Linked DNA regions of Notamacropus eugenii. The protein of the gene in region 2 interacts with the protein of the main gene of each other region in a pairwise test. Links are inferred from orthologs where the notes say so. Each region holds a gene or a part of one and is shown on either strand. Other genes may lie near its edges. The genes, in order: PEX11B, PEX19, PEX12 and PEX10.

Region 1 (7,258 bases), about 82 Mb from region 2:
TGAATACAATTCGGCCATAGCAGATTGCCATGGCTGTCAGAGGTATCAGGAAGAGCCCACAGAAGGTGAAGAGGTTATAGGCGATTTCTTGCCATCGGGCCTTGAAGCTTCCTTTGGTGACACACTGAATGAAGGGGACTGGGCCAGCACGGCGGACAGTATGAAACAGGAACAGCTGGAGTGGGGTGGAGTATAAAACAAAGACTTCCACCTTATGTCATAATATTCCTCACTTCCACCCCCTCACCCGTACCATATAGGGAGGTTGATGTAGCAAATACTGATTAGGGTAATAGTATATCCATGATGCCAACCACCAAACTAGCTGAAGCATAAACATCCATTTAAAGATAAATGTAGCTGAATTCTGTTTTACCAAAAACAACCATATGAAGGGTATTTTTTTCTTTTAGCCATCTAGCCAGTAACTCACGGTGCTATTACTTGCTGTGTGTAGACAAATATTGTTTGAACAAGAAATAACTATAAAGGGTGCTGTTCAGAAACCCACTTAAGCAGTCAATCTATCAACAAGATGTTCTTTGAGCAAGAGCTTGTGTATTGTAACTACTGAAAGTATTAATAAAAATTGACATTTTTTTTTTTTAAAGTGCTGTGTTGGTCTCTGAGTATCGTTCTTGCTTGGAGACTGCAGGGCTGTTAGTTTCCACTCCAGCTATGGAAGCAAAAATACCTTGGCTTCTAAATAATAGTTAAGTCTTGCTTGGAGGCAGTTTCAGCAGAAAGGGGGGAAATCTCACAGAAATGGAAGGAGTCATTGTCTATAGCTGAACGTTACCAGTTGCTTGGAACTTTGAGCCACTGAGTTGATTGGGGATAGAGAAGGGCCAAGATGTAGTCATGAGGGGACACTGGATCAGGAGTCTGAAGACATGAGTTTGTCTCTTTTTACAAGTTTATACTCAAATGTAATCAAATACTAAGCCAGCCTCAGATACTTAATTGGCTGTATGACCCTGGGCAGGTCACTTAACCTCTGCCTCTGTTTCCTCAGATGTAAAATGGGTATAACAGCATCTACCTTGCAGGGTTGATGTGAGAGGATGAAATGAGATATTGGTAAAGTGCCTGACACATAAAAGACCTTATATAAATGCTTTCCTTCCCTTTCCCCTCTCTGCCCAAATAAACCTTTGGATACTTCAGAACCTCTCAGATTGTGAATATAAAATGAGAATAATACCTGTACTATCTAGCTCATAGGGTTTTGAGGGAAGTAAATTACTTGTTAATTGATATGTCAGCTCTTTTTACTACCAAATCACTTCCCTCAAAACAACTGTGAGGTAAGCAACACAAGTTAATAACAGTTGGCTTGCCCATTGTCTCAGTGGCAGAGCTGAGAAAAAAAACAAGGGCTGACTCAGAGACCAGCAAGTAATTAAGCAAAACCTGGGCTGTTTCACAGGACAGTTCTAGGGATCAAATTATACAGTTAATGCAAAAAAAATCCCACCTTTTTTGTAAAAAAAAAAAAAAAAAAAAAAAAAGGATTTTCCTCCTTGTTTCCCTAGGTATTCAATGTTTTCTTATTCTACCTTCTAATGCTCAGAAATAACCTTGTAAGAGGACATTTTGGGGAGGGAGAAGGTAATGGAGCCAGATAAATGACCAGGGATCTAGCCATTCTATAAACTGAAAATGAAAAGCCACAGGATTTACAAACTTTATTGGCTCTTTCTTGTAGCTGCTGGTGAGTAGGTGGAAAACTCAGTATTTGGTGCAAATCTGAATGGATACAAGTGACCTGGAATCTAAAAGTAGATCAAAGCTCCAAGCAATCCATAGTACTTACATTATACCTTACTTTATCCCAGTCTTATTCTTTTCTCCAAGTAATAAAAGATTAATATAACTGTAGAGCAGGAAGGGACATTAGAGACTATCTGGCCCAACCCCTTTATTTTATAGAGGAAGCAATTCAGGCTCAGAGAAAAGTCACAATCAAATTAGAAGAAATCTTTCAATACATGTATAATCTCTTACTGAAATGTCTGGCATCTGGAAACTTAATAAATGTAAGCAGCAGTCTGATCAGTTTAATGACTTTAAACATCATATATATTAAACTCTAAAATATCAACACATTTTAAAAATGTCAAATTTTATTTAAAAAATAGAATCTATTAAAAAAAATTATAGCCAAAAACTAACAATTATCTCAGTTACCTCAGAACTGACAGAACATCCCCTTTTGTACAATATTTCTCCTACCCATAAAGTCATCATTATTAATTTGTTGGTATTGATATATGGTGCATAACTAATTTTGTCTATATAAAAGAAGAAAAAATTAATGTATCTCCCTCCTCTGTAATAGGGTTTCTTTACAGTTAAGGATGAGTTACTTGGAATGTTGGCTTCATTAGGTAAAATACATGTTTGTCTTAAAACCATAATTAGGATTTCTTTCAGTATTCTCATATATCTTCTCTAGCTGAGAGGTGCCACCTAGTTTCTGTGTTGTGGAAATTAGTACTTTTAATGATTTTGTAGATTTAAATGCCTTTATTGTACTAAAAACAGCACTAGCATAGAGTCAGAAAACTTGGATTCTAGTTCAGGCTTTTTGTTTATTGTCTGTGTGAACTAGGGGAAATCACTCATATTTCTGAACCCTGGTTTCCTCTTGTAAAATGGGAATATTCATTCAATAAGCATTTATTATTGAACATTAAATGCACACTACCTAACTCATAGTGCTGTTGTTGAGACTCAAATGTGTATAAAGTATTTTGTAACCTTACAGTGCAATATTTGTAAAATGTGCATTTTTTTCTTAGACTCCTTCCAAAGTGAAGAATCCTAACATTTTTTCTAGTCCATCCACAAACACAAGCTGCTTTGTTTGTTTTGGTAAAAAAAAAAGTTTTCGGTTTTTTTTCTCCCTAACTTTTTAAAACTCCCGGGTTGCTTTAAGATTTGAACGTCAGAACAGCCAGAAGTGTTCAGGTTCGGTCATGCACCATAAATTTGCATACCATGATTTCAATTTACTTCACTTTCCTTTCTTATTTTCATTAACTATAGCCTCTCCTTGTTTACCGTAGAGTTGAGGGAAAACTGAGAAGAGATAAACTGAAGTTTGGGGGACCCACCGGAAAGCGAGATGCAGCGGATGGGTGGGGCGATTCTGCATTCAATTTCATGCCAATTGTATGTAAATAGACTTGAAGGGCACAGAAGAGGTAAAAGACCATCTTTTCCGTGAGTTCCCTGGGTAGGATAAAACCTCGACTCCACGGGCTCACACTCCTTTGGTCACTCACCTGGGGCAGGGCAAGTAGAAAACTAAGCCCCCAGGCCGTTCCCAGCAGCTTTCGCCCACCCCCTCGGGGTCCAAGAGGATGGAGCACCGCAGCCTGGCGGTCAAGTCCAATGACCACAGGCAGAAAAGCAGCCGCGTACATGGCCAGCAGTTTCAGGAACATAAGTGTCCGGCAAGCAACATCTCCAGCGAGCCACTGGACGGTGGCATTCCACGCAGCATCCAGGGGCATGACCACGAAAGTGACCAGTAAGTCTGCAGCGGCCAAGTGGCCAAAAAGTCGGCGGACAGGGGAGGGGCGGAGTCTACTGGATCTTGGCCGCGTCACTGACCACAGCACAGCCAGATTCCCTGCAGCCGACGACAGGAACAGGGCAGCGGTCACTCCTACTCGGACCTTGGCGGCAGTTGAAAAGGTGGGAAGCGCTGACTCCTCCACCTCGACCCCCGCCCCCGCCCAGGCTTCCTCTCCGGCTGAAGAGCCCCAAACTGTATCATTGTCGGAGGACATAGCTGCAGGGGGGAAGCGGCCAGCTCGGGCAGCCCATCTCTTCCCCAGCCAGGCCAGGGGCTGGTGCGGGTCATCGTGGTCTCGGACCGCATCGGTCGTCAGTTTCAGGGACGCTCCCCATCTTTGTCCGGAGGGCTGTCAGCTCCGCCCCGCTGTCCAGAACTCAGGGTCCCATCCCGCAGGGGGCTTCCCAGGCCCTCCTGCTCCGTGCCCAGACCCAGCTGGCCGAGGGGCTCTGGTCCCCAGCTCCCCGTGAGCCCCCGGTCCAGCGCCCGCTCCGCAGCCGGAGGTCACTGCGGCAGCTGTTCAGCACGCCAGCCTAGGCCGGCCCCGCCCCGCCTCCTCAGGCCCCGCCTCCTGCTGGTCCCACCTCCCCCTTCCTCACCGGCTAGTACTTTTAAAGATCGCGGCTGCCAAGGGGCCCCAAGGACTGCGCTGGGCGGCGCTCCCGTCCCTGGGGCGCGGGAAAATCTGTGCAGATGGCTGAGCCTCCTGCCGCGCCCGAGCTTCCGAGGGAAGCCGAAGCACCCCTGGGAAGGCCGGGCCCCGCCGGGCCCCCGCGGCGCCGCGGCTCCGAGGGGCGGGGCCTCCGCGCGCTTTGCTTGGCTCCCCAGTTTGTCCCTCACGCGGTGCCGTCGGGCTCTGCGGAGGAGGGCGTGGGGAGGGGAAAGGAGACGAGCCCAGGCTGGGCAGTGCTGGGCCGCGGAGCCGGTTAGTGGACTTCGAGGCCGCTGGCATGGATGCCTGGGTCCGCTTCAGCGCCCAGAGCCAGGCCCGGGAGCGCCTGTGCAGGTGCGGCCGGGGGCAGGGGGCGCGAGCGGGGACGCAGATCTTTGCGGTTCCCTCGGGCGACGGGGGTCAGGATGGGTCAGCCCCGGGTACGGAGGCCGGGAGCGAGAGACCCCTCAGCTAGTGCGCGAGCTGAGCTGTGAGGAAATGAGTCGTTCCCCCCCGCAGGACAGATGGGGAAACTGAGGCATGGATTGGGGGCAGGACGGGGAGGGTGGAGATCCCGACGACCAGGCTCGCCTCGGAGATGGACTCTGATCCTGGTGTGTGTGTGTGCGCGTGTGCGTGTGTATGTCTGTGTGTATGTCTGTGTGTGTCTGTGTGTGTCTGTGTCTCTGTGTGTGTGTCTGTGTGTCTCTGTGTGTGTCTGTGTGTGCGTCTGTGTGTGTGTGTGTCTGTGTCTGTGTGTCTGTGTGTGTGTGTGTGTCTGTGTGTGTCTGTGTCTCTGTGTCTCTGTGTGTGTGTCTGTGTGTGTCTGTGTCTCTGTGTCTGTGTGTCTCTCTGTGTGTGTGTCTGTGTGTCTGTGTCTCTATGTGTGTGTGTCTGTGTGTCTGTGTCTCTGTGTCTCTGTGTCTGTGTGTGCGTGGTGAACCGCCTGGTCGCCACAGGTCCTACTGTTAGCTGCTGGGCCTCCAAGGGGCTCGTGCCCACGTGACTCAGGCGGCGTGGGGTGCGGGGGAGGAAGAATGGGGCTGGAGTGGAGTCTGTGGACTCTACCCCAGAACCGCCGAGCGGTCTCGGGGCGCCGGCAGTGGGGGAAGTGCCCCAGGTGGTGCCCTGGGCCCCGCGGCCAGACCCCCCCCCCCCCCCCCCCAGGCCGGGGAGCTACCAGCCCTTCAGCCGGTGCCGCAAGCACACCCCCCATCTCTCCGTGCCTATCTGGATGCCCAGCGACGATCCTCCACCCTCTTTCCAGTGTCCATTTCCTTTTTCTTTTTTTGCTTTAATCCACGCTTCCTCACCTCCCAGTCCCTGTGACCTTCACTGGTTCTCCTGTCCCATACCCTCTCCTCTCTTGTTCAGAAGGGCAGAACGAGGAACCTGGGGTTTGGAGGTGTGCAAGTCTTAAGGAAGGTTCTGCTGGGGAAGGAGGTGTTTCAGCCTGACTTGAATACCACCCCTACCCCTCTCTCCTCCTTCCTGTAGAGCTGCTCAGTATGCCTGCTCCCTCCTTGGTCATGCACTGCAGAAACATGGGGCAAGTCCTGAACTTCTGAATCAAATACGGCAGTTGGAGGGCCATCTGAGCCTTGGACGAAAGCGTGAGTGACTTTTCTCCTCTGAATAGATAAGTGCCAAGTATTCTCTGCTTCCTTCTGACTTCCTTTTAGTCTCTTCCTCTAGCTAATCGTCCCCTCCCTGTATTTTTACCAAAAACCTTTTTAAATAAATGTTTTATTAATACTCTTTTCTTTTAAAAGTCTGTCACTGCTCAGTGATTTTTCCATTGCCTCCTCAATCTTTACTTGTAGCTAAGCGCAGTTAAGGAAAGCAAATCAATACATCATCCATGCATGCTTTATTCCAAATCTAGAGGCACCATATCTCTCAGGATAAGGGAGGGGGCATGCCTCATGTCAGTCAAGATTGGTCACTGCATTGATTAGAGTTTTAAAGTTATTAGTTGTTGTATACCTTTGTGGTCATCATTTTAATTGTTCATCAGCCTCTTTATTCACAGTTCCAATTTATGGGAGTCTTCCCAAGTTTCTTTAAATTCTTTATATTTGATGTTTCATAGAGCACAGTCATATTTCATTATATTCATACACCACAGTTTGTTCAGCTATTCCCCCACAGCAGGGACCCATTTTGTGGCTGCTACAAAAAAAAGTGCTGTTATAAATATTTTTGTTTATATCGAGTCTTTCCCTCTGTCTTTGACTTCTTTGGGATTATGCCTGGTCATGATATCACTTGACTAAAGGGCATATCGTTTAGTGAATTTTCTACCATGATACCAAAGTTGTTTTCTGACGTGGTTAGATCACTTCAGAGCTCTACCAGCAGTGGATTTGTGTGCCTGTCTTTTCACAAACCCTGGAACATTTACCATTTTTGTCTTTTGTCATCTTTGTCAGTCTGATGATTGTGAGGTAACCTTGTATTTTTAATTAGCCTTACTCTTGCTAGAGATTTGGAGTACTTATATTCTTGTTAATAACTTGAATTTCTTCTGACAACTTCCTCTTCATATCCTTTAATCACTTATCGGTCGGGGATATATTTATATAAATTCCCTATTTATTTTCTGTATGTTACTTTTAGCAGATCTTTGGGGCAAAGATTTTTTTTATTACAGCTAACAACTTCTATTTCTAACAGTATTGTTCATGCAAAAGCTTTTCAGCTTTATGTAATTGAAATGACATATTTTATCTTTTATGATCACTATTATCCCTTGTTTGATTAAGAATGTTCTTCAAGCCATAACTTTACCCCCTCATTCTTATTTCACAGTTGAGGTGGCTGGAAAACAAAGTACAAGCAGGGGATTGGGATTGATTAAAACCATGAACAAAGGGAAATGGAGAAAATGTCATTAGAGTCCGAAGTTGTCAAAGAGAAAGAAACAAAACTTGGCTGCTCCAGTGCCCTTGCTTTTGTCTTGTTGCCTACTTACCGCCACACTCTGTCCTCAGCCTTGTTTTATCTGCCCGTGGCTGTCT
Region 2 (7,334 bases):
CAAATCTCACCTCAGACACTTGACAGTGTGACCTTGGGCAAGTCACTTAACCCCAATTGCCTCATCCTGGGTCATCTCCAATCATCCTGATGAATTTCTGGTCACTAGATTCAGATGACTCTGGAGGAGAAGTGAGGCTGGAGACCTGCACAGCCCTCACTCACTCAAAATAAAGTCAAGTACAAGTCATGTCATTATTTCTCTGATGGCATGGTCTTCTTTGGCAACAAAGGATGAACATACACACGACATGACATGACATAACGTGCCCATAAAATACCAAGATAAGTCCCATTATTCAAAATAATGTCTGATAGGTGCCTTGTCCTTGACAGTCATAAACAGAAGAATGCTCTGTCAGCTTCATCCAGTCTTGTAGTTGCTAGGGTCACAACAAGTATCTGAGACTAGATTTGAACTTAAGAAGATCAGCCTTCCTGACTCCAAACCTGGCACTCTATCCACTGTGCCACGTAGCTATCTTCCTACTGCTCCTATCTCCTTTCACCTCATTCTTTACATGAAGGGTTGGCCCTTCTTTCCATGGCAAACCCTTCTATGTGCATCCTTGATTTCATATTCTCCTATCTTATCTAGTATATTGCGCCTCCTATTATTGCCTTCTCCCTAATCTTCATTCTCTCCCTGTCTACTGTCTTTTGCCCTCCTGCCTACAAATTAAGTTTTTCTTCCCTATATTTAAAAAAACATCATAATTATTCTCTCCTTTTCTTCTGTTTATTTATTGGTTGGTCAAAATGATATTTAAATAAATCTGGTTGGGGGAAAAATCTTTGCATTAAATAACTCTTGATAAAAGTCCGAAATACAGAAACTATAGAGAATTGACACAGATATATAAGATTCCTAATGGACAAATCATCAAAAAGTTTTTAAAAGAAGAAACACAAACTATCAGTGACCACGCAAAAATGTTCAAAGTCACTAAAAATCAGAGAAAGGCAAATTAAAATAATCATGAAGTTTCACCTCATATCTATTAAGTTAGCAAAGATGCTGAAATATGGAAAAATATTGTTCTAAAGATTGTTGGATCTGTGATTTGAATCAACTATTCTGGAAAATATGAGGAATTATTCAAGAAAAGTTACTGAATTGTTCATAACCTTTGGCCCATAGATCCCACTTCTGGGATCATGTTGTTCTGTCTTTTTGGTCATGTCCAACTTCATGACCCCATTTGAGGTTTTCTTGGCAAAGATATTGAAGTGGTTTGCCATTTTCCTCTACAGATAATTTTATAGATGAGGAAACTGAGGCAAACAGTTAAGTGACTTGCCCAGCTAGTAAGTATCTGAGGCCAGATTTGAACTCATGAAGATGAGTCTTGCTGATTCCAAGCCAAGTGCTGTACCCACTATACCAGCTACCTGATCTCCTAGATTATATTTCAACAATAATGATAGAAAGTCTATACATTAAAAAAAAATGCTTATAGAAGCATTACCTGTGACAACCTGGAATCAAAATATGTGCCCAACAGCTGGGGAAAAGCTGGTATGTATATGCAATAGAATATTACAATACCATAAAAAAAATTGTGAAAATGAGAAATTTAGAGAAACACAAGACTTACATGAAGAAAGCAGAGCCAAAGGAAGTGTACATAATGCCTACAACAATAAACCAAGAAAAAGCAAAATAAGTCAGATTCGGTGGCCAATACTGGTGCCAACAAGTCATATTGATGAGATCCTTAGGCAAGTATCTAAGGCCTTCCACAGTTTGGGTCCAATTTTTAACTGTATTTCATTCATAGGATTCCCTTTCATATAGCTTTGATGATTTTGTGCATTCACATAAGCCAACCAATGCCTATAATTGTCTTCACAATTCCTTTTACATTTTCATTTGTAAAAATCTTGTTCTTCTATCAAGACTCTACACACCGGTAACATCAATGATGTTTCTCATTGAAGCAAAGTATTTTCTCTCTACTCAAACTTTTCCAGAGCACTTGAGATCCCTCTTTTGCTCCCATTACACCCACCTTGTATTACACTTATCTGACTACAAGTCTTTAAACTCTCTCAGAGACAAGGTAAGTTCCATCTGTTATCATTTCTTTGTTGGATTCATTTATTCTATTTATTTCCTCTTCTATTTGTGCCTAGCCTAAGATGAATAAAAATCCTACCATTCTGTCAACATAGTATCCTATATCTCCTCCCTTTCTCAGTCCAGCTTCTAGAATCTAGATAAAGCTGTTTATGCTCAGTACCTCCACTTCCCTTCCTTTCACTTTTTTTCTTAACTCTGCATCCTGATTTCTGATGTCATAACTCAGCTGAAAGTGCTTCCTCCAAAGTTACCAATGATCTCTTGATTGCCAAACTCAATGCTTTTTATTCAATACTCATTCTTCTTGACCTCTCCATGGCACCTGACCCTACTGAACACCCTCTTCTGGATGCTTCTCTCTGGATTTTGGGACTGTTTTCTCTTGGTTCTACTCCTCCCCACATGACCACTCCTTATTTTCCTTTGCGGGACTATCATGCATATCACCCCCTCACTCCCACCCCCTAATCCTGGCCTTCTTCTCTTTTCTCTCTTGACTCTCACTTGGTGACTTGATCAGCTGCCATGGGATCAATTATTATCTCTATCCCTGGGAATCATTTTTATGATTCCCATATCTATTTATCCAATCCTATTCTCTCTTCTGAGCTCCAGCCTCACATTATCAACTACCTATTAGATGTTTCTCACTGGATGTTCAATGAGCATCTCAAACTCTGCATGTCCCACCTGAGGCTCAGATTTTCCTCAGACCAGCCTCTTTCAACACTTCTCTATTTCTGTAGAGGACACCAGCATCCTTCCAGGCTCCCAGACTCTCAGTTTTGTAGTAACAGTCATACTACTAAGCTCGGTATCATCCCCCCACTCTTACCTCATACAGTTGTTCAGTTATCAGATCTTGTCCTGTCTATCTCCACAACATCTCTTAAATTCATCCCCTTCTCTCTACTCTATCACCACCCTAGTTCAGAGCCTCTAGTTGTACATTCATTCACTCATACCCCCAACTCACCTGGTCTTGGGGGGAGGGCATCAGAATATTCCTTGCTCCCCCCATTGCCACTTCCAAACTCTCTCTGCCACTATAACTCAACAACATCTTCTTTCATTTTTTATCCAAATTTATCATACAATCTAGATGCTAGTGGCTTTTATCAATTAACAACAACAGCTAACATTTATATAGAGCTTACTATGTGTCAGGAACTGTGCTAAAAGCTTTACAATTATTATCTTATTTAATCCTCACAACAACTCTGTGAGATAGGTGCTATTATCATCCCCATTTTACAGGTGAGGAAACTGAGGCAAATGTGACTTGCCTAGGGTCATACAGCTAATAAATATCTGGGGTGAAATTTGAACTCAGGTCTTCCTGACTTCAGGCTTGGTACTCTATTAACTGCTCCACAATATTATCCTTTCTTCATTAATGAGTTCTGTGGCTGGCTCAAAATCTTTCTCTCCACCCTACTCCTCACACTGGGAACTTATTCATACTAGTGCTCTCTCAAATACCCTAATTTCCAAGTTCTTCAATCTATTTAGTTCCCATGACTACTCTCACTGGTGATATTACCAGATCTCATGAATTTGATCATCATCTCTAGGTAGATGATCCCCAGTTCTATTTATTCAGCCCTTCTCTCTCCCTTAGGCTATATATAGTTTTTCATTAGCAGCCATCTTTGGGGCATCTCAAATTGGATGTCCTGTAGGTATCTCAAGTTCAACATGTCCAAGAGAGAACTCATCATTTCTCCTAAACCCTCTTCTGAACTTCTCTATTTTTTCACTCAGTAAAATTCTGCCCTCTCTTCCTCTCATCCCACGCCTACTCCCTATTAAGAATCAAAGGGAAACAAAACCCCTATCACAAACATCTGTGGTCAAGTACAACAAATTTCAGCATTGGCTAGGTCTTAAAGAAAAAAAAAAGTGTGTGTATGCACACGCACATATAAATACACACACATATGTCTGCATATATACATGTATATCTGTCCCATTCTGCAACTTTCACTTCTTATCAAGAGTTGTATAGTATGTTTCATCATCGGTTCTCTAGAACTGTTTATTTGTTACATTGTTCAGAGTTCCTAACTCTTTCAAAGCTGTTTATTTCTACTATATTGTTATCACTGTACAAATTGTTCTGGTTCTAATCACTTCACTATGCATCAGTTCAGGTGGCACAGTGAATAGAACATTGCAATAGCCTGCTAGTGGTTCTACCTGACGTCCCTCCCTATTCCAATCCATTGTCCATTTAGTCACCAAAGTAATTTCCCTAAATTATTCTCCTACTCAGTAAACCCCAGTAGCTCTTTATTGCCTCCAGAATCATACAAAATGCTCTGTTTGGTATTCAAAGACTTCAACACCTAGCCATATCCAAACTTCCCAGTCTTCTTACACGTTACTCCCCAGGCAGTACCTGGCAGGAACTCATCACTCCAGAATCCAGTGAAACTTCCTTCTGTGCTATTTCCATCCCTCTGCTCCAAGCATTTTCTCTACTGTCTCCCAACCCTGGAAAACACTGCTTCCTCAATTCTGACTGCTGATTCCCCTGGTTTCTTTTATGTCTCACCTAAAATCTCATCTTTTATAAGAAGTCTTTCACAATCTCTAATTTCCTATTTTTCTTGTGTATCAACTATAGATTTGTATAGCTTTGTTTGCATATTGTCTTAGCCCTATGAATTGTAAGCTCCTTTAGGGTAGAGAACTCTTTTTTTTGCTTCTTTTTGTATCCTCAGCACTTTTCACAGTGCCTAGCACATAGTAGGTGCTTACAAATATTGATCGATTAATTGGTTGATTGAGCTGCTGATCTTGCACATTGCTCTTTAGGGTTCAGCTGCTGATAAATTCAGGTATGGACTCCAATTCCAACATCTGAGATCTCACAAGGTTGAAACTTAGACCATTCCGTTTCCAATACTCATACACTTAAGAGCAGGAAAGCAAAAAAAATACAAAGGCAAAAAACCAGATACATCATATTCACAGCACATGCTAACCCAAGCTATGTATGTCTGAGTGTGGGGGGGGGGGGAGGAAGTGTTGGAGATAGGGAATGGGCAGCAGGAGGCTGCTGAGGACATGGCTATCATGTGACATCACCTCCATAATGTCATGATTCTCTTCCAGAACAAGGAACAAACAACATGTCCCATCCAAACAAAGGCTCACAAAGTACTCCATGACTTGAGCATCACGAGGAAAGGCTAATGTCCATTTGGTCATTTGGTGCCTTTTGAATGTACATTCAACAGCTCAGCAGTCAAAATCAAATGGTGTTTTCTTCACTGGTGGTAAATGGATGGGAAATAATCATAGAATACCTGTATATTCCCTCTGCTCCAGATCTTCAGAAACTTCCAGAAGCCAGCTCACCAAATCCCTGCATCTGCGCGTTATTGGGCCCTCATTGACCAGTGCCCTGCCACTTCAGATGGATTTTGTAGGTATGAATGTTTACGCCTTAAGTGTAGGATCTATTTCAGTTTTGTTTCTATCACCTTTAGCATGTAGCAAAGTGCCTGATGTTATTAAGTAGGAACTTAATAATGGTTGTTTGTTGATTAATAGTGGATATAAGGCTTGCCTTGTCAGCAAGATCTGGGTTAATGTTTTCCTTCTGACACATACTGTGGGTAATGTGGGTAAGATGCTTAACTCTCAATGCTAGACAATTCTATAAAACTTGTAAATTACAGAGGAATTGAGAATGTGTATTTGTGAAGAAAGTTTCTGCACAAGGATGAAATCACAAGCTAAAAAAAATTCAGTTCAATTCAATAAGCATTCAATAAACACATACTACGTGCAAGGTTCTAAACAAGGTATGGTAGCTTCAAAGGCAAATGAACAAAAAAAAACCACTCAAACCCAACTAGTCCCTTCAATCAAGAAGTTTAAATTGTGTTACGGTGGAAGCTATTAAATACAGGTGAGAAATGATGAAGGGGTGATGAGGGCCTGAATTGTGTGAATGGAGGGGGGGTGCATATAAAAGAAAAGAGTCCAATAGGACCGATTTTTTGAAATGTTCTTTGACAAACAGAGCATACACAGAACATAAAATATGTTGATGGGCTAAGCAGTTGAGTGGGTATGTGGGTTAACCTGTTGTTATTAATTTCAACTGATGAAAGGATGAATTCTAGTGTAAAATTTGAAGGTACCTAATAAATGGGTAAGTGAGGAGAGGCAGGAGAAAGATTTGACTTCGAATAATACATAGGATTCCCAAGCACTCGTTTTTTTTGTCTGTAGGGTTACAGGCTAATTCGTAGGCTCAAGTCAACACACATCCATTAAAAATGTGAAGTTACACATTGTCCAAAGTTTTTGAGAGTCACAAGACGTTTTCCTTGCAACAGCACTGTAAGGTAGGCAATGCAGAGCAGCAGGAACTGCATTTTGTGGATGAGGTCGGGCGACGCTCGCAGGGACACAGGAGGCGTCGTGTCTCCGCTGGCTGCAAGTCCCACATTCTTTCCGCTGCGGAAAACGCAAAGATAGCTCCTGTGGCAGGGCTTGCGATCTGAAGGGACAGAACCTGAACAGAACAGCTCGTACGAGCCAGCCCGTAGCGAGTTCAAGGGAAGGTACAACGCTTTAACAACGTGAGGAAAGGTCGTCACCGGGTCTCGGGGAAGCCTTCTTGGAGCACAGTACCTGAACTGGGCTTTGAAGGCGTTTCCACAGGTGGGCCTCGCGGCAGCGAAAGCACGAGCGCGGGGGCGGGGAAGACGGGCGCCCCGTCCGGCAGGAGGAGCAGGGGGTGGTCCGCAGGAAGAGAGAAATGAGGTCATCTGTCTCTTTAAAAATGGCGGTGCCCGGCCTGCCTCTCTCCCCATTGGCTGCGCGAGGCCGAAGAACAGCGGGTAGGAAGCGGGGAGCACGTGGTAGGAAGACGGGAGCCCGAGCTTCTACGGCAAGTCCAAGGGAGCAAGATGGCCGCGGCGGAGGAAGAGAACGCGTCGGGCACCGACCCGGAGATGGACGAGCTTCTGGAAAGTAAGGGCCGGACTGGGGACCCCGAGAGGCCAGAGGGCCCGTGGTCCTGGGCGTGGAGGGGGACGAAAAGCGCAGACGCTGGCGCTGGGGGGGGGCGTCTTTCTCCTCAGGGGCCACCCCGCTCAGGTCGGGGGTCTGCCGCGAGGAGGGGCCGTCAACCCCCGGCGTGGGGGGACGGCAAGGTGCGGCGGACAGCCTCGGGAGCCCAGGACGTGGTCCCAGCCGCCCCCCACAGTGCGCTTGGTGAAGCCAGTTCT
Region 3 (7,100 bases), about 78 Mb from region 2:
TAAAGGGGAAACACCACCTAATTCACGGGGTCCTGGTGATGAAGGGGACAGAGACAAAGGGAGAGGCACCGAAAAGGGGAGAGGACAACGGGAGGGAGAGGAAAGGGGAGAAGGGGAGACCGGGAGGGAGAACAGAACGAGCCTGGAGGAGGAGAGGGAGCGGAGGGCGGATTTCAGCAGCGCTCCTCGCGGGGGCTTCAGCCGGGGCCGCCCGCACGCTGGGACCCCGCACGCGCCCCGCGCCCTCCCGCCGGCCATTCGTCGCCCCCTCCTCTTCCCAGGAGCTGCCCCGGCAGCCTGACAGGAACCGGGAGTCGGCCCGCACCGCCCGATCCCCAGCCCCCCCCACCCCCGCTGGGCTCACCTGGCCACGCCCCTAGGGCCCCCCCGCCTCCTCCTCCCCGGACCCCCGCGGCCACGGCCACGGCCACGCCCGGCCTCGACAGCCCCAGCTCCCTCGCCACTGGCCCCCGCACCCACAGACCGGGAGGCCTGAACTCACCAGCGGCGACGAGGAGGGATGAGGCGAGCAGAAGCGAGGAGGGACAAGGCGGCGGGCCGTGGGCGACGAGCGGGCAAAGGGCTCCTGCCCAGCACGAATCCTTTCGGGGCGGCCTCGGCCACTGCGCAAATTCCCCTTTGCCAGGGCTAAAGATGGCCGACGGGAAGCGCCCACGTCAAGGGCGCGTGCGTCGCGGCGCGCGGGGGTGGGGGTTGGCGAGGGCGGGGCTCCTAGCATCCCCTGGGGGGAGCCTCGAGCCCAGGATGGAACAACGGCGGCGCGTCTGGTCGTCATGGAGATAGCACTCCCCCCTACCCCCGCCCGCCCTCCCTGCTGCTGCCCGATTGGTGCTCTCCCCGGTGAGGGGCGGAGGTTCTACTTTAAGAGAGTCTGTGAACCAGCGTACGGTTTCTGAGCCCCTGCTGCGTGTCGGGAACCAGGCTAAGTGCTGGCGGGACAAAGCCAAGCAGAAACGGTCCTTTTCCAAAGATCGCTGCCTCGGGAGTTGTTTCTTTCAGGACAATGTCACTGATTAAACGCCTACTGTCTTCCAGCTCCCCGTGGGCCGGACACTGGGCTAAGCTTTCCAAGGCAGAGATTCTCCACCTGGGGTTCGAAGACTTTAAATATATGTGTGTATGTACGTATATTTATAACTTTTGGTATAATTGGTTTCCTTTGAATTCTATACATTGTCTGCATCTAAAAGCATTATTCTAAAGAGGCGTCTCTAAGCTTCCCCAGACTGCTATGACACAGAAAAGGTTAATAATCCTTCCGCTAAAGGGAACTCCCCAGAAAGCTTTGCTCTTCTGCCGAAAGTAAATGTATTAGTCCTTCTAGTGAGCCAAAGAACCCAGGAACTGGATTTTAATCCAGACCAAGCGATGACCATGGTTGACAACCTCACTTTTCCCAGGTCCATAAAAACCAGGACTATAAGGGGCTCTAGTTTCACCCCACAGTTTTACAGTTTGGGGTAACTGGGGCTCAGGGATGCTAAGGGACTTGCCCAAGATCATATGAGTAAAATTAACAAACGTTTATTTAGGGCTACAAAGTGTTGTTAATCGATGGACAACAATGCCCTGAACTAGCTTACTTTCTATGAGGGATAAAAAAATACAGTATAAAAACATGAAAAGACTAGACCAGATGACCCCTTGGGTTTCTTCCAATTCTACATGCTGCAAATCAATATTCAGTTCATAAACATCCCTGGTCCCAAATTGGAGTCTGGCATGCAAAGAAAATCATATGGTTTTAGATTTGGAGCTGGAAAGGAGCTATGAAGCCACCTTGTCCAACCTTCTTACTTAACAGATGGAAAAAGTGAGGCCTGGAGAACTTGAGACAGGGACTTTCCTAGGCTACAAAGACAGGGATTACTCCAGATTTGAATCTAGGTCCTTCAACTGCAGATGCAACACTCATTCCACCGTGCCACAGTGCTTCCATGTTGTAAACCCAAATCAAATTTACTTTGCAGACTCCTAAGTCCAGCACTCAGACATTCTAACGAATATAAGAATCTATCCCTAGGAAAGAGAAACTATCTTCCCCTCTTGATATTTATTAGATGGTTCTATGAATGGTTAATCAGTGACCAGCATAAAAATAACATTTATATGCCACTTTAAGGATTGAAAAGTTCATTAGTTGCAAGTATTATCCCTATTTCAGAAACGAGATTCAATAATTCAATAAACATTTCTTTAGCACTTCTGATCTGTAAGACAGTGTGAGCTCTGTCCCAATGACACAAAGACAAAAAAAAAATAGTTCCTGTTCTCATAGAGCTTCCTTCTACCAGGAGAGATGGCCCATGCATGCATGGTCATCCATCTAATAAATGAGAAAGCTCATAGGATTAAGAACTGGAAGGGTTTTAAGAATAATGTAATCCACCCCTCTCCTCATACAGTTGAAGAACCTGAGGCCCACAAAGGTAAAGTGACACCCAAGGTCACCCCCATAGCAAGTAAAGAACCTGAATGGATTTGAATCCAGCTCTCCAGCCTCCAAATTCATTGTTCTTTCCAGAAAAACTGTTGTGATAAATAAAATGGATATAAACATATAAATAAAGCTCTCATAAATGTTTATATTATAGATTATATAAATTTATGAATTATATATAAATTATAAGTATGTGCAGAGAGAATACCTTGCTGTTTACAAAATTAATTGGAGTTTTATCTCTACTTTGCTGATGGTGAAAGGTGAAATTACTTGTTCATTCTTACACAGAGAATGAGTATTGAGGTCAGACAAAACTAAAAATCTAGATCTTCTGACCACAAATTGAGAATTCTTTCGATTTTTTCAGGCTACTATACACTCCTTTATATTATTATTTATTTCACTTGTTAGGATGGTCTTCCTCACTTCATTCATCCGTTCATTCAACAACCATTTACAATGCATTTGACAAAGTAAGAAGCCAAGTGATAAATTAAGGCATGGGCCACCTTATGATTACTAGAAAGTATCTATTCAATAGCTGTTTGAGAGGGAATGACATTTCAGAGGATTACCCCTTTGAGGGCGAAGTCTGAAATGGAAAGATTAGACATAAGAGATGCTGAATCACCTCAAGGTCTAAGTATCACTTGACAGCACCAGTGTGCCATATATTCTGGAGGCCGCCTTGAGCTCCTTTGAAATAACGTGTGACGTTCGAGGAAAGTCTCTCGAGACCGTCAAGTGCGGTTAGTGCAACTCTGCCTTGGCAAAGAGGGGAAGCTAGATGACTTGAAATCAGCAAGATTCTGAGCTGGAGTCTTGCCTCAGACACTTAATAGCTGGGGGATGTTGGCCATGACATTTAACCTCTTTCCACCTGCTTCCCCATCTGTAAAATGGGGATAATAGCACCTACCTCCCAAAGTTGCTGTAAGGATAAAATGAGTTAACGTATGAAAAGTGCCTCCCAAGCCCTAAATATCATATAAACGGCTGATTTTATTATATCGACGAAATCACAAGGTCTGTCCAAGAAAACGAGATTCGGACGTGTGTTATAACACATGAAGGTACTTAATAAATATTATCTTGTGGCTTCCCACTGAAGAAGGCAGCTGGACGTGCAGTGGACGCAGCACTCCACCTGTCCTCTGGAAGGCGGGAGTTCAAATCCCCGGTCAGACACTTCCGGGCTTGCCAAGGCAAGCCACCGAACCCACCTATAGGAGGATAACAGCAGCCCCTAGCTCCCAGGGCCGTGGCGAGGATGCAGAGACATTTGCAATACGCTTTGCATCCCTTAAAGCACCACACAAAGGTGGCGGCTAGGATCTCAGGTTCACACAGCACCAGGAAGCAGGCTTTTTTCCCCCATTTTACGGAAGAGCGCGGCAGGCGGCTTAATCCCCGCCTCCGGTCTAGGCCGATCCCTCCCCTCCGCTTTCTCTGGGCAAAGAAGGTAAAGGTCCCAAGCAGAAGGCCCGGCCGAACCCACCCCCGTCTGCAGGCCTGGGAGCCGCCCCGAGGCAGCGGTGAACTAGAACGCGTGCCTTTAGGGCAGAGAAGGAGAGAGGGTGTGGCCCATTTAAAGGGCCAGCCGGCCGGAAGCGGAAGTGAAGCGAGGAGGAATAGAGTGGCGGCCTGCGGGATAGAGCGCCTCCTCCCCACCCCCATCCCCCCACCCCATCCCCGTCTCGCCGCCGGAACGTCTACTTCTGTGTACTGCTCCAGAGTTGGCCGGCCCCCAAGTGCGGCCCACAAGGCTCTGGACTCCAGGGCCCTCCTCCCTCTCAGCGCCGGGCTCCCTCATGGGGCCCGGATCCCAGCCCCTGGCCCGGCCGCGGCAGTCGCCTCGGCCTCCTCCCCGTGGCCCGGACATGGTGGCCGGGCTCCCGTCGCCCTCCAGCTGAGCAGCCCCCTCTGAGCCCCCCGCCAACCCCGCCCCTCCTCCCTGAGGCTCCGCACGGCCGGGCTCCCCGATGGCCCCCTCGGATTTCCTCCCTTTCTGACGTCGGGGGTCCGCCCGGGCCCGGCACCTAGAGGGCACGATGGCCGAGCACGGGGCTCACATCACAGCCACCCCGGGCGCGGATGACCGGCCCTCTATCTTCGAGGTGGTCGCGCAGGACAGTCTGATGGCCGCCGTGAGACCCGCTCTCCAGCACGTGGCCAAGGTAAAGGGGGAGGGGGCCGACTGACCCTAGCGGACCGGGGAGGGAGCCACGACCCCGGGACGCCCCAGCCCTAACCCGAGCGCCCAGATCGCCCAGGACTCCTGGCAGCGAGTCCCGGCGGCTGTGGACGGCACATAACGAACTTCATTTTCCTGTTTTGCCCTAGGTTCTTGCAGAATCCAACCCAGCGCATTATGGCTTCCTCTGGAGGTGGTTCGATGAGATCTTCACTTTTCTGGATCTTCTACTACAGCAGCACTACTTGTCTAAAGCCAGCGCCTCCTTCTCTGAAAACTTTTATGGCTTAAAGAGGATCGTGATGGGAGACCCTAGCGGGGTCCGGAGGTTGGCCAGTGCTGGCGTCCCCAAGAACCAGCTTTGGAAGTCTCTCTTATTCCTGGTCCTCCTTCCCTACTTGAAAGTGAAGCTGGAGAAGCTGGTCTCCAGCCTAAGAGAAGAGGATGAGTATTCCATCCACACCCCCTCGTCCTGTTGGAAGCGGTTTTACCGAGCTTTCTTGGCAGCTTATCCCTTTGTGACCATGGCCTGGGAAGGCTGGTTCCTCGTACAGCAGTTACGTTACATCCTGGGGAAGGCTCAGCATCATTCACCCTTGCTGAGCCTAGCTGGAGTTCGGCTAGGTAGACTCTCAGCAGAGGATATCCGAGCTTTGGAAAAGACACTAGCTGGAGCCAGTGGGATGCAACAGCCAGCCACTAGGTAAAACGCTGGAGGTAGAAAACCTCTATTTTTTTTTTTTAATTCATAAATACCATGCTAAAATCTGATCCTGATTTTACCACATTCAGGCAGTTTTACAGTCTGGCTCTGCGGTTGTGCTTCACACAACCTACTTCATCACTGAATCATCTAAAAATCCCTAGATTACTTGTAATTAAAGTGTAGTTAGCTTCCTGTGACTCCCAGTTAGAAAAAGGAAGGTATTTTTATTTAACGAGCTTTTATTAAAGAAGTGGCCCAGTGATTTCCTTAAAACTCCCTCTACTAATGTAAGACAGCACCTTCTCTACAATCCGTAGTCTTAGAGAGCAGTGTCAACTACCGAGAGGTCAACGGACTTGTCTGGGCACAGGGAGGGGTCTGAGGCAGGCCTGTGTCTTTTGTCCTGCTTCTGAGGCTGCCTCTCCAATGCACTTTCTAAAAGTTATGTGCTACGTGTTATCTCCTAAATATGGCAATCTGCTAGTGCTTGGAGAGATGCCAAAATTAAACCAAATTGGTTCCACTGCCCTAGGGGAGGGCATAACCTGTGTAGGTTGAGGGACTTGGTACAATAGCCCTTTATGTAGAAGTAAGAGGTCACCAAGGGCTGTTGACCTTAGTCCCAGCTCTTTTTCCACTGGGCTTTAAATCTTGCTTCTGCCACTTAGTACCCTGCTCTGCACATAAGGGCTCAACTCTGTAAAAAGAGGGGGTTGTGCAGCACTCTGGTCCCTCAGAGCTACAAGTCTATGCTCCCATTGGAAGGCTTCCAGAAAGAAGTGGCAGTGTTGGGTCTGAGACTTGAAGCTGGTAAGGTAGCATGTCAGAAGGGGTTCCAGAAAGAGGTGGTAAAGCACAGGCTATGGATCAGGACAAGGGGTCTTGTTGGGCTAGAAAGAAATCACGAAATGGTGTTAGACCAGACTCATGATAGCCATGAGGGCAGAGAATGCAGGTAAGGAACCTGCTGGAACAATGCAGGTCAACAAGCTTTTATTAATTTATTGCTATGTGTCAGACAGTGTGCTAAGTCCTGTGGATACAAAGAAAGGGGAGGAAAATAGTCCCTGCCCTCACAGTCTAATGAGGTCCCATGCCAACATGTATAAGACTGTGTAGGTATATATACAAGATACACACAAAGTTGATAGAAAGTGTTAGATCAGCACATTCTCTGAAAAGTTTCTGTCTCTTGGAGCACTGAGGTTATAAAGGTCACACAGCCTTCATCAGTGTTGTAAAATAAGGTTAAAAAAGTTGACCCTGGGTTTTAGAAGTCCTTGAATGCCAGGCTAAGGACTTTGGATATAACCAAGACTAAGGAGTTTGGAAAGCTGTGGGCAGTATAGAACCATTTGAGGTTTTGACATCAGGTTTCTTAACATCAAGTCTGTGGATAAAGAATATTCATCTATCAGCTGTGTACAAGCTGGGTTGGAAGAGGAAGAGACTGTAGACAGCAGCACTGCTAAAGAGGCTATTAAGACACTACCCCAGAGTCTGGATTTGAGAGTGGAAATAAACGAGAGTGCAGATAGTGGAAAAAAGGGGATAACTGAAGAAAAGAGGTGACAAGTATTGCAGAGGCAGAAGCGATAGAAACTGGCTTCTTTCTAACAGAGATGTGGTGATACTGGAAAACTTGGCCATGTAGTCCTGCACATGATTTTGATGAGCAGTGTTAAGAATGAATATTCTTAGAATTTGTAATATTTAGGACCTGTGACATAATGTCT
Region 4 (7,067 bases), on a different chromosome or scaffold from region 2:
CTTCCCCACCCCAGCTGCCCTGGGTCAAGCCCTCATCACCTCTCCCCAGCCCACTGATGGGCTTGCCTGCTTCCAGAACAATCTCTAGATCATCAGGCCAGACTCCAGCCATCACTCCTGCTTGGCTCTTTTCATTTCTTTCCTACTGACTCCAGGATAAAAAGCTGACATCTTGTCCCTGGGGGAGCCTGCCTAGCAGCCTCTGCCAAACTGGCTTCACCACTGTTCTCATCACTATCCGAGCCTGCCTCCTTACAGAGTGCTAGGCCTGGAGTTCAAATAAGGCCTCTTAGACACTCGCTAGCTGGGTGACCCCCAACAGGTCACTTCACCTCTATTCCTCAGTTTCCTCATTTGCAAAATGGGAATATTAATCAAACCTACTTCCAAGTTTGCTGTGTCAGCCAAGACAACACATGTTAAACATTTTGAAAACCTCAAAATGCTATGTAAACTCCAGTTATTACTATTAGGTTTGCTAAGTGGTACCAAGGCCTAAAGTCAGGAAGAGAGATGCATTCAAATCCAGCCCCAGATACTGACTAGCTAGGTGACCCTAGGCAAGTCATTTCACCCTGTTGGCCTCAGTTTCCTCATCTGTAATACGAGCTGGAGAAGGAAATGGCAAACTACCCCAGTGTCTTTGCCAAGAAGACCCTAAATAAGGTCATGAAGGATCAGACATGACTGAAAAACAAAAAAACCATCATTATTGTTTTTATCTCCATGGTCCAAATCCTTCTCTTTGGTGCTCTGCTCAGCTGCCACCTCCATGAAGCCCTCTTCAGTCTCCCCAAGCAAGGACATTCTCTTCTTCAAGGAGCATTTTGCTAGTATTTCACCCTTTTCCCCATTACGGTTCTTTGTACTTAACTGGGTACCTGGCATGACTCCCCCTTTTAGGCAGAGACTGTCATCTCTTTAGCACATGTCCCTAGGACCTTGCACACAGTGGGTGCTGTAGCATGTTTGCTGAACTGAGCTGAGTAATGGAAGTCAGCAGTGACACAGCATAATGATGGAACTTGGGCTAAGTCAATTCATCCTCTCTGGGCCAAAGGGCTCCCAGGGATGTTGTAAGAGGCCCATGAATCACAGGGTTGCACAGGCATGGGGATCGAGGTGGCTGCTTGTGCCTCGCTGGGCCAGGCAGGATTTGACCACAGGCCCAGAGGTCCATTTCACTCCCATAATCACGAATGACAAAGGACTTATCCTTTCTCTGCCATCCCTGAAAGAATTCTTCTAAAGTGTGAGCAGAGGAGGCCTCCCAGGTGCTTAACTGAGGAAGGAGGGAAAGGCAGAGACTTAAGGGCTGGGGAAAGGGCTCCCAGGCCTGAGAGTGCTGCGAAGCCACCCCATCCCCCAAGGCCCTCAGATTTTGGGGGCACCATGTTGATTCTTCACTGCATCCCCCACCACCCTACCTGAAAACGTGGTAAGGGTGAAGTATGCCACATCCGACAGCAGCTCAATTTCCTTCCTCCACTCTAGCCATTTCTTAGCACCTGAAAGAGTAGAGAGGCACAGCAATCTAAGCAGTCAGTGCACATTTATTAAGTATCTTCTGTGAGCCAGGCACTGTGCCAAGCCCTGGCAATGAGGGGCAGCAAGGGCAAAGAGGTGGGAGATGCTACGTCCTATAAGGGGAACAGTGCAGACCAAGTGAGCTGGCCTGGAGCGTGGGTCATGGGCAACGAGTTTTCAAAGACAGGCTGGGGCCAAATCATCCTCGAACAAGACCCTCCATGTCTCCATATTCTCTCAGGCTGTCCCCTGTGCCAGACTCCTGAGCTCCCTGGCTTCCTTTAAGTCCACACTAAAATCCCACCTTCTACAGGAAGTCTTCCCCAACCCACCGTTGGTTAATTGTTTCCTATTTATCCTATACTTGGCTTGTCTTGTCTTTCCCTAATAGTTTACACATTGTCTTCTCCATTAGACTGTGAGCTCCTTGAGGGCAGGGCGTGCCTGTCTTTTGACTTTCTTTGCATCCTTAGTAACTGGCACAATGCCTGGCATCCAGGGGGTGCTGGATAATAATGGCTAACATTTGTACAGCACTAATGATGTGTCAGCCTGTGTTAAGCACTTTACAATTATGATCTCGTTTTTCCTCTGAGGGCAGGAATGGTCTTTTCCCTTTTTTTGAATCCCCAGTGCCTGATACATAGTAAGGAGTATATGAATGTTGGCTGTTATTTCACTGTTTTTTAGACTGGAAGGTCCCTGAGGGCAAGCACTTTTTGCTTCTTTTTGTATTCTCAGCGCTTAGCACAGTTCCTGGTACACAGCAGGCGCTTAATCAGTATTTATTGTTTGAAAGAAAGGGCCTTGGGTGCCAGAAAGAAGAGTCTGCACAAAGTAAATTAAATCCTACCAGCGATGAAGGGCACTCTAGCAGGTAAGAAGGAAAACTAGCAGGGCCATGGGGGCGGGGCTTGTGGAAAGCAAGGACTGGGCGTAATCACAACAGTTACATCAGAGAACCTAGCGGCGGGGCACACACATGGACCCGCCCCGCCCCGCCCCGCCCACTCTTCTGTTCTGCCTTCCCTCTCACGCCTGCGCATTCCGTGGCTCTTCCCTCGCTGGCCCCGCCTTCTCCAGTCGGAGCCTGCGCAGTCCCACTCCCCTTTGCCCCGCCCACTCCCTCTCACCCCATCCCCACCTGAGCCTGCGCACTCTGGCTCCCGCCCGCCCACTACCTCTTGTGGTCACCCCGGCCTTCGCGGCCGTCCGCGCCTGCGCACTCCCTGGCCCGGGCTCACCTGCCAGGCTGTGCAGGGCGCTTCCGGCCGCACTCCGCAGGTTGCCCCTGTAATATTCATCCTTCTGCGCAGCACGGATCACCTCCGGCTGATTGGCGGACGCCAAGGCCATGACCACGACCCTCAGCGCCTCCGAGCTCCGGGCACGGCCCCTCGGTGCCCAAAGGGCGGGGCCTGGTGACCGCCGTCGCGCGGATCGTGTCGCGTGGATTATACGTCACTCACGCGTGCAGGGATGGGGTGGGGCGGAGGAGGAGGAGGAGGAGGAGGTGAAGGTCTTAAAGGGACCAGTCTCTTGAGAGCTGGGATGGGTTGGTGGGGGGGAGGAGAGATCGGTGGGGGGGGGGGGGGAGCGGGGAGCGGAAAACGGAGGCCTCGAGCTTGGCACTTGGCTGAATGGCCGGGGGCCGTGAACCCCAGTCTCATTTGCCCTCCATCCCTGCCCATAGCCTCCTCCCCCCGGGACCCCAGGGCTCCCCCGGACCTCTGTGTAGACGGGTGGTCCCGGCTATGCCCCGCGCCCGTGCCCCGCGCCCGTGCCCCGCGCCCGTGCCCCGCGCCCGTGCCGTGGAGTGGAAGCTCCTGGGGAGCAGGGGGTACGGCCTTCCTCCTCCTGAACTTAGTTAACCACTTCGCAAACCCTTGTCGATTGGCTAGCGGACCGTTGGGGTCCCGGCTTCTCCTCGCTACCCTGCAGTGCCCGCTCCGCCGACCATCCGCCCGCGTCCCCCCGCGGGCGTGGAAAGCCCACCCTGCACCTTCGCGATCCCCTCGGGAGTGCCCCGAGCGGAGACCCCCGGTCTTGCCCTTCCCGGCGGAGGCTGCGAGTCAGCAGACCTGGGTCCAGCCGCGGCCACTCGGGGGCCCGAGCCGTGTCCCCACCCATGCAGTAAGAAAGGATCAGACCGTCCGAATATCCCGAGCAGCCCCTCCCGGTCCCAAAGCCTCTTCCCGTGGGACAAGCTGGCGAAGGGCTCAGGACGGGCATCTGAGACCTGGGGGGCGGGGGGTGGGCACCCCGGGGGCCACACGGCCTGCCTGGAGGCTGCGCAGCCCAGGAAGGGGCGAACTCACCGCGTTTGGGCTCAGAGCCCACCCCAGCCTCCGAGCTTGTGTCTTCATCGCAGACAAGCCTCAGTGGTCTCCAAAATTCTCCCCTCCCCTCCCCTTCTCCACCCACTGAGAAAGGAAGCTAGCAAGCAAGAAAAAGCAATTACAAATAGAGACAAGCAAAACAAACCCCCACCTTTGCCCCTTTCATCTTACCCGTCCCTCTCTATCCTCTCTTTGCATCCATCCGTCTGTCTCTCTGTCCCCTCTATTCATCTGCTTTAGTATATATCTGTGTATACACACGTTCAGTCGTTTTTCAATCCTGTCCCTTCATGATCCTATTTGAGGTTTTCTTGGCAAAAATACTGAGATGGTTTGCCATTTACTTCTCCAGAGGAGGAAACTGAGGCAAACACAGTAGAGGGACTTGCCCAAGATGACACAGCTAGGAAGTGTCTGAGGCTGGATTTGAACCTGGAATGAGTCTTCCTCATTCCAAGTCCAGGTCTCTATCCACTGCTCTACCGGTATGTGTGTGTATATGCATGTGTATACATGTACGTATGTATGTATATGCATTGTGTAGATATGCATATATGTGATACACATATATGCACACACATATATACATATATGTATCTGCTTTAATTTGAAGAGTCCCTCACTTGGAGGCAGATAGCATGTTTCTTAATGAGTCCTGGGAATTGTAGTTGGTCACTGTGTAGATAGATCAGTGTGCCGAAGTCTTTCAAAGCTGCTTCCCTTTGCAACATTGTTATTATTGTATGAAGTGTTCAGGTTCTCTCCAAAGACTTGATATTGCACATCAAACAAAGATTGTTTTGAGTATACACCCTCAAGACGTGTATATTTACTCATTTTGTGTGACCCCCCCGCCTCAGTTTCTTCTTCTGTAAAGTGAGGGCAATAATAGCACTTATCTCCCAGGGTTGTTGTGAGGATGAAATTAGATAATATTTATTTTAAAAAACACTTTGCAAAACTGAAAGTGCTATATAAATGCTGACTAGTATTATTACTATTTATGTACAACATGAAGTTCAAAAATAGAAATTAAGGAAGACTAAAATGAAGATGAAATAATCTTTGAGTCCATAGGGAGCCATTGGGGTTTACTGAGTAGGGGAGTGACATGGTCAGGGCAATGCTTTAGGAAAATCCCAAATCCCCTGGGTGGAGGCTGAATTAGAGCAGGGAAAGTTACTACAAATAATCCTGACAAGAGGTGATGGGGTCCTGAATTAACGTGTTGTCTGTGTGAGCAGAGAGAAGGGGACAAATGTGGAAGTCTGACAATTTGGCAATTGATTGGATAGTGGGATGTGGGGCTGGAAGGGGAAGGTGGTTATGGAAAACTGTAAGTGGGAGGTTAGTCCTTCCCTCACCCCCGTATTAGGGAATTGAGAGATGGGCCAGTTTTGTGGGAGGAATGATGGAAAGATCTATAATCCAGTTTATAATTTCACCATGCTCCAAGATCTTTGGTTCCATTCAAAGCCAAAAAAGGGGAGATAGAGCTCTTGCTGGTCACTGCTCCCACTCATAGCCAAGAGATGATCTGGGAGAGAGTGGACAACTGGGGTTGAACTTTCCCAAAGACAACCCTGTAGCTGTTGTGGGTAGAGGCAGTTTGGTTTAGGTCATAACTGCCCTAAGGGACAAACACCTGGTTTGGAAAGGGAGAGACTGGGAGATAGCACAGTAGGTGTGTATGTGTGTGTGTGGGGGGGGGGGGAGACAAGGAAGAGGAGGGTTGGGGGGCAAAGGGTAAATATCTGTCTCTAGCCTCAGTTTGTCCCTTGAGTTTCACTATAGGCTACTGGGCATCTCAAACTCACCACATCCTAAACCAAATCTTGTAAACCTTCCCTTTTCCCCAAATGCTCTATTCTATTGAAGGCACCACTATCCTTACAGTCTGCCAGATTTCTAACCTTGATGTCATCAGCTCCTAATTCCCCTCTTGCTTTGAATCCAGTCACTGGACAAATCTTGTGGTTTCTACCTCCCCAATACTTCCACATCTGACCTATTTTCTCTACTCACATTGTCACCATCTTATTTCAGGCCCTTATCATTTCTTGCCATGACTATTGCGATGGCTTCCTATCTGGTCTCTCTGTCTCAAGTCCTTCTCCATCCCAATCCATCCTAGACAGAGCTGTCAAGGTAATATTTCTTGTGCCATGTCAATCCCCCACTCATTCAATGTCCATTTACTTCCCATTGCCTCTAGAAATAGAAATTTCACTGTTCAGCTTTTAAAACTGGCCCCAACCTAACTCACTGGACCTTACTCTCCCTCCCACACTGTGCTATCCAGCCAAGCTGGCTTTCTCCCTCTTCCTAACCCATGACCATCATCTGCGCACTGGATGTCCCATATGCTGGCACGCACTGACTCCACTCATTTCCACCTTAAAGAGTTTCTCTCTTCCTTTAAGATGCAGCTCAAGATAATCAGCTATGGTAGATTTAGCTCTTCTTAGCACTACAAAATGATCAAAGACAGTTCCAAAGGACTCATGATGGAAAATGCTATCCACATCCAGAGAAAGATCTGTGGAGTCTGAATGCAGATCAAAGCATACACCTTTTTGTTGTTTTTTCCTTCTTGTGGCTTACCCTTTTGTTCTGATTCTTTTTTCACAACGTGACTAATGTGGGAACATATGTAACATGATTGCACACGTATAACCTATATCAGATTGCTTGCCATCTTGGGGAGAGTGTAAGGGAAGGAGGAAGGGAGAAAGAAAAATTTGGAACTCAAAATCTTATAAAAAAAATAAATGTTGAAAACTAATTTTACATGTAATTGGGAAAACATACAATACTATTAAAATATTAGAAAAATAAGGGGAAAAATAAGATGCAGCTCACACTCCATCTTCTATATGAAACCTTTTCTAATCCTTCCAAATAGTACTGCCCTCCCTCTCACAATATCTTGTATATATTTGTATTTATTCCCTGTATATTTAGCCTGTATATAGTTTTATCTGTATTTATCTCCCTATGGGAATGAAAATTCATTAGGGGTTGGGATCGTTTCATTCTTGGTTTTATTTCCCTCTTGCCTACCACAATGCCTGGTCTACAGTGGGTGCTTAATAAATACTTGACTGATGAACTGCTAAAATCACTCTTCTTTCAAGATTCACTCTTTCTAGGAGAAGCCTTTGCTCATTCCCCAACAACTAGTACCTTTTCTCCCAAACT

What was found.
Region 1: the proteins of PEX19 (region 2) and PEX11B interact in binary tests that used the Homo sapiens proteins (3 or more experiments, as listed by UniProt). The link is inferred for Notamacropus eugenii from reciprocal best matches to the Homo sapiens genes PEX19 and PEX11B.
Region 3: the proteins of PEX19 (region 2) and PEX12 interact in a two-hybrid assay, tested with the Homo sapiens proteins (4 studies listed by BioGRID and IntAct, with this or other methods). The link is inferred for Notamacropus eugenii from reciprocal best matches to the Homo sapiens genes PEX19 and PEX12.
Region 4: the proteins of PEX19 (region 2) and PEX10 interact in a two-hybrid assay, tested with the Homo sapiens proteins (4 studies listed by BioGRID and IntAct, with this or other methods). The link is inferred for Notamacropus eugenii from reciprocal best matches to the Homo sapiens genes PEX19 and PEX10.

Annotation. Positions count from the first base shown.
Region 1 is NC_092873.1:303,222,741-303,229,998, reverse strand, and holds the start of PEX11B (peroxisomal membrane protein 11B), read left to right. Parts: upstream 1-4,252; 5' UTR 4,253-4,536; coding exon 4,537-4,592; intron 4,593-5,735; coding exon 5,736-5,851; intron 5,852-7,258. Other genes in the region: gonadotropin-releasing hormone II receptor-like, read right to left, coding at 1-175, 3,291-3,800. UniProt on the Homo sapiens protein: Involved in peroxisomal proliferation. May regulate peroxisome division by recruiting the dynamin-related GTPase DNM1L to the peroxisomal membrane. Promotes membrane protrusion and elongation on the peroxisomal surface.
Region 2 is NC_092873.1:385,304,555-385,311,888, reverse strand, and holds the start of PEX19 (peroxisomal biogenesis factor 19), read left to right. Parts: upstream 1-4,327; 5' UTR 4,328-7,013; coding exon 7,014-7,077; intron 7,078-7,334. UniProt on the Homo sapiens protein: Necessary for early peroxisomal biogenesis. Acts both as a cytosolic chaperone and as an import receptor for peroxisomal membrane proteins (PMPs).
Region 3 is NC_092873.1:307,719,793-307,726,892, forward strand, and holds the start of PEX12 (peroxisome assembly protein 12), read left to right. Parts: upstream 1-4,082; 5' UTR 4,083-4,515; coding exon 4,516-4,641; intron 4,642-4,807; coding exon 4,808-5,361; intron 5,362-7,100. UniProt on the Homo sapiens protein: Component of a retrotranslocation channel required for peroxisome organization by mediating export of the PEX5 receptor from peroxisomes to the cytosol, thereby promoting PEX5 recycling.
Region 4 is NC_092876.1:37,005,906-37,012,972, forward strand, and holds the start of PEX10 (peroxisome biogenesis factor 10), read right to left. Parts: upstream 3,003-7,067; 5' UTR 2,884-3,002; coding exon 2,772-2,883; intron 1,509-2,771; coding exon 1,428-1,508; intron 1-1,427.